Saccharomyces cerevisiae S288C: one gene and its partner. Each later gene encodes a partner of the first gene's protein in a complex. Each region holds a gene or a part of one and is shown in the gene's direction. Other genes may lie near its edges. The genes, in order: PRE3 and PRE4.

Region 1 (3,543 bases):
ACGTGAACTCAGTTAGTTACGTTCATGTTCAAAGTTTTTAAGACAAAAACTCCCATTAGTGCGGTGAAAATATAGCAAGCAATAGACAGAGGCTTCTTGAAAAAAGAGCTTTTCGGGTAGTCGTACTTTATCAAGACTTGGCCATTGGCAACTTGACTAATCAAATTTCTGTAACTGAAAGTTAATTTAACGTGACCTTTATTTAGGTCAAAGTATGATTTCTGGGTTTCTATAGAAACATTTGTAAAAGGGACTGGAGAATCAATATCGAATATTTCGGCCCCTTCCGGAAGAAATACCGATAATTCAACATTATCATATACAGTGTCCGGTGGGCCGTTTAGAATTGGGATAGAAGCAACGAATTTCTCGTCTGAGCCAGAGGATACATGCAAGAAATCGGACAATTTATTAGTCCAACCGACAGTAAAATTGTAGTTCCAACCTCCAAAGATTGGGAATCTTGGTCTTATAAAGAAATGGTCACGTTCTGCATGCGACGTGGAAACAAGGCCAACCAAATCAGTGAAATAATGATCAGTAGCTCCCTCAGGCAGGAGCATGTCTAAGACAGTAACAAAGTGAGTTTGTCTCATATTCTGAGTTTGAATCTGTTTCATTAATTCTAATCTTGAAAATCCTTTAGACAGTTTTGCGGCTTTGTTTGTTAATTCATAATATTCCTCAAATTGTATTGTGGAAGCCCAATGAGAAAGCCAAATATCTCTTCTCAAATTCACTACCTGATTCAATGGGGCATTGTGGGAATAAACAATTGCTAAGGTTTCGTTTGAAGAAAATCTCGGAATATCTTCCCAAGGCCCAAACTCAAAAGAGTTTCCATTAGCTTTTCCCAGTAAACTCTCGTCATTTGGGGGGTGGTACTCCTCAAATGATGAGCTACCAATCAGCGTAAAAGAGGCCTTCTTGGTATCGTAAGCAGAAAGCGGCAATCTGTTCGTTTCCCACAATAGGTGTTGTTCTTCTGACATTCCAACGTGCTCAGGATAAGGAATACCTACGGTATTATAGAAGCTCTTAATCACTAAAGAAACTTCTTCCTGAGGGGAAATTGCATTTGGAAATTGAATGATCCCGTATCTAATTTCACTTTCACCATCGTCACCAGGTGCTGTAGTCGAATTGGCAAGTAATTGGCTATTTAAAAAAGTTGCCTCGTTGGTAAAATAGGCTGAAAAAAAGGAAACTTTACTGAAGATGCCACTCTCAAAGGCTGTGAAGTATTCAGTCGCAGGTTCGCTTGCTATGTTTTTGATAGTTATTTCGATTGTTTCTGAAATATAAGCGTTTGACACGTCTATTGTCCTCTTATAATCAACATTCTCCCAAGTCGCAGGTGGCTCGTATTGGGCAGCAGAAGACACGTTGAAAAAACATAGGAACAATCCCACAATCCAAGAGAACCAAACCTGCCTCATTTTTTCAGCACCAATATTTTGTAGTTTGCGTCTTGTTCCGAGCTAAAGAAGCAATCGGGTACTTGTCAAAGAAGTAGCTTGCTTAATAAAAAGCAAACATTAATTTGTTCTGCATACTTTGAACCTTTCAGAAAATAAAAAACATTACGCGCATACTTACCCTGCTCGCGAAGAAGAGTAACACTAACGCATTCTATGGGCAATTGAAGACAGTATTCAGTACAAGACATAGTCCGTTTCCTTGAGTCAATTCCTATAGCATTATGAACTAGCCGCCTTTAAGAGTGCCAAGCTCTTCAACACCGATCATTTTTGATGATTTGGCGTTTTTGTTATATTGATAGATTTCTTTTGAATTTTGTCATTTTCACTTTTCCACTCGCAACGGAATCCGGTGGCAAAAAAGGGAAAAGCATTGAAATGCAATCTTTAACAGTATTTTAAACAAGTTGCGAGACGGTGTACAATTACGATAAGAATTGCTACTTCAAAGTACACACAGAAAGTTAACATGAATGGAATTCAAGTGGACATCAATCGTTTGAAAAAGGGCGAAGTCAGTTTAGGTACCTCAATGTATGTATATAAGAATTTTTCCTCCCACTTTATTGTTTCTAAAAGTTCAATGAAGTAAAGTCTCAATTGGCCTTATTACTAACTAATAGGTATCTTATAATCACCTAATAAAATAGTATGGCCGTGACATTTAAGGATGGTGTGATACTAGGTGCTGATTCACGTACCACCACTGGTGCGTACATAGCTAACCGTGTGACAGATAAATTAACGAGAGTACATGACAAAATTTGGTGTTGTAGGTCCGGTTCTGCAGCAGACACGCAGGCGATTGCCGACATTGTTCAGTACCATTTGGAATTATATACTTCTCAATATGGTACCCCCTCCACAGAGACTGCTGCCTCGGTGTTCAAAGAATTATGTTACGAAAATAAAGATAACCTTACTGCTGGTATAATTGTGGCTGGTTATGATGACAAAAACAAAGGGGAAGTATATACTATTCCATTGGGTGGCTCCGTCCATAAGCTGCCTTATGCGATAGCAGGATCTGGCTCTACTTTCATATATGGGTATTGTGATAAAAACTTTAGAGAAAATATGTCAAAGGAAGAAACCGTAGATTTCATAAAGCATTCGCTATCGCAAGCCATTAAATGGGACGGATCTTCCGGTGGTGTTATAAGAATGGTTGTTTTGACAGCTGCTGGTGTGGAACGTTTGATATTCTACCCTGATGAATATGAACAACTATAATAGACCCCAAAAGAACAAATTCTGAGTGATTACTTCTCTTTATATTTGTTAACAAATGCCTCTGGATCTACACTGATATAACATATAATAGTCTATAACCTCTTTCTCTTTTTCTCTTCGCTTTACGCTTTTTTCTCTAACTGTTAGAACGACAAAGTATCTCAGAAGGGAATTTCGTAAGCAAGATATTTTACGACTAATCATTTTTTTGTTGTATAAAAACGTATGTGAGATTGATTCACTAATTCTTCGGAGTCCTGGAAGGCTTACCTTATCTATGCATTCGTACAGTTGTGTGCAATGTTAAAAATGGTGACTGTATCTACGTATCTATAAAAAAAGGTTAACTACCGGAAAATCATTTCTTCTCGTAAAGTGTATATTTAGGTTCGGAAATCATAAACATTGTTTTTTTGTGTTTTTTATTTTTAAATAAAAAGAATAAATATTTTATATTAAAAAATAAATTTTAAAGTAAATTAATTATTTAACACGTGATTAAGTTACTCTAATATAATCCTATTTAATAATTAGTAGAGTTGTTGAGAACGAGTATAATATTATTTTTTTTTTATTTTTTTGTAGGTTCTTTGGCCATCCTAAATAGAATAAGCATCCACAACAACTAAACTGGTATTTTGTTATACACAACGCGTCTTGGTTAGGCATCTGTTTTGTTTTAGCTATTGTTCATCGCGTTTTTTTTTTTCTTATCTCTTTTACCGAGGGGCGAAAATAGCGATAGATCGAGAATATAAATAAATAAAATATTGTTGTGTTGTGTAGTTCTAAAGAAAAATTTTACAGTGAAAAGGTAACACCGGGGAGT
Region 2 (3,152 bases), on another chromosome or scaffold:
AGTCGCACGAAGAAAGAATCCAGGAAATTATTGAGCGTAATAAAGAGATCGAAGCTACTGAGGAGAGGAAGCGCCGTGCTAAGGAAATTGCTAGAAAAGAACATGAAAGGAAACACGGGTTTATGTCTTCAAATGGCGATTACGACGGCGCCAATAGGTTCATGGGAAGTAAAGATCCTAACGTTACAAACGCCATCAACAGTTACTACTCCCATGCTTCTCCTGCAGCACAACAGTCTTATCTACAAAGTTCCCATGCCGCTGCTGCTGAGGTGGCCCCAGTGGCCTCCCCAATGGCTACGTCTCAGCGTGCGGGACATTCTGCTACTGGCGGTATGAAATTGGGTGGTGGTGCCGGAAGAAGAGCGGGTGCCGCACCACGGCCAAGTGCAATTTCTTCAGCCTCTTCTGGCACTCCACCTCCTCCGGAGGAGGATGTCCCAGAGAACAATGGTATTTTGATCTCTATCAAGGAGGTAATCAATGCAGAATTCTCCAGAGATGGTACCATTCACTCTTCTGAATTGAAAGGTGTTTTAGAACTAAGAATTAATGACCATGACTTATCTCACTCGAACCTAAAACTAGCTGATTCTATTGACGTTCGCGATAAATCCTTCCAGTTTAAGACCCATCCAAACATAGATAAACAATCGTTCCTATCCACTAAACTTATCTCCCTGCGTGATAAATCTAAGGCTTTCCCAGCCAACGACCAAAGCCTGGGTGTTCTAAGATGGCGTAAAGTCGCTCCCGCAGAAGATGACTCATTAATTCCATTAACTCTAACTACATGGGTTTCCCCCTCCGAATCACAACAGGGCTTTGATGTCATTATTGAGTATGAGAGCGTCCTGGAAACAGAACTCGCTGATGTGATCTTCACCATTCCAGTTTTCCCTCAGGAGCCAGTAGACATAAATACAGAGTCTTCTACATGCTCTGACGCTGAAGTTGTCAACATGGACCAAGAAATGGGAACCTCCATTAAGATTAGCAAAATTGCTGCCAACGATGCAGGTGCGCTAGCATTCACTATCGAAGCTCCATATGAAGATGCATTGTACCCAATGACCGTTTCCTTCCAAGAGTCCACGAGGGATAAATTAGCTAAGAGTTTCACCGGTATGGCCATACAATCTGTTGTCATGGCCAATGACCACGATCAAGAGCTCCCTTACGACGTCATCACCTCTTTGAAATCAGATGAATATCTTGTCCAATAGTACGTTACATTCACATATAAAATACTTAAGTTATATACACAAACTAAATAAATAAAAATCGAGGTATCTTTTCTTTCGTCCTTCTATATATATAGTTTAACTTACTCTTATTCTTTATTATTTTTCCTTTTAGGGTTACCCGTCAATCCTTTTTATTAAAGATGTTCCAGCTTCTTGGTTTAGAATTTGCCACCTTAAATACGTACCCACATAGTAAAGTACAGCTAAGTTAAGAAAGGGGATAAGCAGCAGGAATCCTTCATCTTCCGCCGAAAACAACATAAAAACCCACACGAATGAATCACGATCCTTTCAGTTGGGGCAGGCCCGCAGACTCTACTTATGGTGCTTACAATACACAAATTGCGAACGCAGGCGCCTCTCCCATGGTTAATACACAGCAACCAATAGTAACAGGTACTTCCGTCATATCAATGAAATATGATAATGGGGTTATCATTGCAGCAGATAATTTAGGTTCATATGGCTCTCTTCTAAGATTCAATGGCGTGGAGAGGCTTATTCCCGTGGGTGATAACACCGTTGTGGGCATTTCAGGTGATATTTCTGATATGCAACACATTGAGAGATTATTGAAAGATCTAGTCACTGAAAATGCGTATGACAATCCTCTAGCGGATGCTGAAGAAGCGCTCGAACCCAGCTATATTTTTGAATATCTAGCTACCGTCATGTACCAGCGAAGATCAAAGATGAATCCACTTTGGAATGCCATCATTGTTGCTGGTGTACAGTCTAATGGTGATCAATTCCTAAGATACGTAAATCTTCTAGGTGTTACGTATTCGTCTCCCACCTTGGCCACAGGTTTTGGGGCACACATGGCAAACCCACTGTTAAGGAAAGTTGTAGATCGAGAATCTGATATTCCAAAGACCACTGTACAGGTTGCTGAAGAGGCGATCGTAAATGCAATGAGAGTTCTTTATTATAGAGATGCCCGTTCTTCTAGAAACTTCTCACTGGCCATAATTGATAAGAACACAGGTTTAACTTTCAAGAAAAACTTGCAAGTTGAAAACATGAAATGGGACTTCGCCAAGGATATTAAAGGCTACGGTACTCAAAAAATTTAGAAGAGTTTTATCCCACCTTCATTAAATACTCATTTTATTTTTATTTTTCAATTCATAATATCATCACTCTTCTCTCTTCCTAAGTAACTACGTTTTTACATAGATATAATGATATGTGTAAAGAAACTATAAAATAACAAAAAAAAATCATAATATTACTGCATCTATCCTTCACCATGCACCACCGCTATTTATGCTCTCCAATTCATGCTCGTTAATAGGTTTGTACCGAAACCTAGCAGGTAGCTCGAAAATGGAAGCAAGCTCATCTTTTTGCAATGGCCTGTTAACGAATACAGAGGTCTTTGACGAGCTGAGACCAGCATTAGCGCTATGCTTTATTGGCACTACACGGAATGGTTTATAATTTTCCATGAATTTACTCACTGGAATACACTCTTTGCTGCCAGGTAACATTCCGTTGGTAGCGCAAGGATGAACAACGACCTCAGTTGCATGCTTCACTAAGGGATGCCTTGTACCGACGAATTTTATCATCGGCTCATATGCACTCTTTGCTAATCTTATAGGTGTAGCAATCATTTCCCTGTCTTCTTGTACTTTTATCTTACTCTTATTATCGGTTAAAAACCTGGGGAAGTACTCCTTAATGGTTTGCTTTAAAGAATTCAATGCGGCTAGAAATGAAAAAGACTTTTAAGATCACTGAAACACTGCAATCTGGCTAAAATATTAGTCTTCACTATCGTCTTTTTCTCCTTTGTTGATGCGAAAGATGAATTTACATATTCGAGTCCCTTAGTCATATTATTGTACTTTTAATGCAATCTTGAGGGGAGCCAATCAACGAGTGGTTTTACTTGCACGT

What was found.
Region 2: the proteins of PRE3 (region 1) and PRE4 are in contact, whole or in part, in a crystal structure (PDB 4X6Z), measured with the Saccharomyces cerevisiae proteins. Residues at the interface, in NP_012533.1 of Saccharomyces cerevisiae: Arg38 (codon at 2,178), Thr40 (codon at 2,184), Gly42 (codon at 2,190), Ala43 (codon at 2,193), Tyr44 (codon at 2,196), Ile45 (codon at 2,199), Ala46 (codon at 2,202), Asn47 (codon at 2,205), Arg48 (codon at 2,208), Val49 (codon at 2,211), Asp51 (codon at 2,217), Leu53 (codon at 2,223), Thr54 (codon at 2,226), Arg55 (codon at 2,229), Trp61 (codon at 2,247), Arg64 (codon at 2,256), Gln72 (codon at 2,280), Ala75 (codon at 2,289), Asp76 (codon at 2,292), Phe152 (codon at 2,520), Ile182 (codon at 2,610), Lys183 (codon at 2,613), Trp184 (codon at 2,616), Asp185 (codon at 2,619), Gly186 (codon at 2,622), Ser187 (codon at 2,625), Gly190 (codon at 2,634), Val191 (codon at 2,637), Arg193 (codon at 2,643), Arg204 (codon at 2,676); in NP_116708.1 of Saccharomyces cerevisiae: Ser65 (codon at 1,715), Leu66 (codon at 1,718), Leu67 (codon at 1,721), Arg68 (codon at 1,724), Phe179 (codon at 2,057), Met183 (codon at 2,069), Tyr218 (codon at 2,174), Tyr219 (codon at 2,177), Arg220 (codon at 2,180), Asp221 (codon at 2,183), Ala222 (codon at 2,186), Arg223 (codon at 2,189), Arg226 (codon at 2,198), Glu248 (codon at 2,264), Met250 (codon at 2,270), Lys251 (codon at 2,273), Trp252 (codon at 2,276), Asp253 (codon at 2,279), Phe254 (codon at 2,282), Ala255 (codon at 2,285), Lys256 (codon at 2,288), Ile258 (codon at 2,294), Lys259 (codon at 2,297), Gly260 (codon at 2,300), Tyr261 (codon at 2,303), Gln264 (codon at 2,312), Ile266 (codon at 2,318).

The regions. Positions count from the first base shown.
Region 1 is NC_001142.9:433,213-436,755, forward strand, and holds PRE3 (proteasome core particle subunit beta 1), read left to right. Parts: upstream 1-1,950; coding exon 1,951-2,015; intron 2,016-2,131; coding exon 2,132-2,714; downstream 2,715-3,543. Other genes in the region: dolichyl-diphosphooligosaccharide--protein glycotransferase subunit OST1, read right to left, coding at 9-1,439. UniProt on the Saccharomyces cerevisiae protein: The proteasome degrades poly-ubiquitinated proteins in the cytoplasm and in the nucleus. It is essential for the regulated turnover of proteins and for the removal of misfolded proteins.
Region 2 is NC_001138.5:248,237-251,388, reverse strand, and holds PRE4 (proteasome core particle subunit beta 7), read left to right. Parts: upstream 1-1,522; coding exon 1,523-2,323; downstream 2,324-3,152. Other genes in the region: RET2 (coatomer subunit delta), read left to right, coding at 1-1,226; alpha-ketoglutarate dehydrogenase subunit KGD4, read right to left, coding at 2,495-2,866. UniProt on the Saccharomyces cerevisiae protein: Non-catalytic component of the proteasome which degrades poly-ubiquitinated proteins in the cytoplasm and in the nucleus. It is essential for the regulated turnover of proteins and for the removal of misfolded proteins.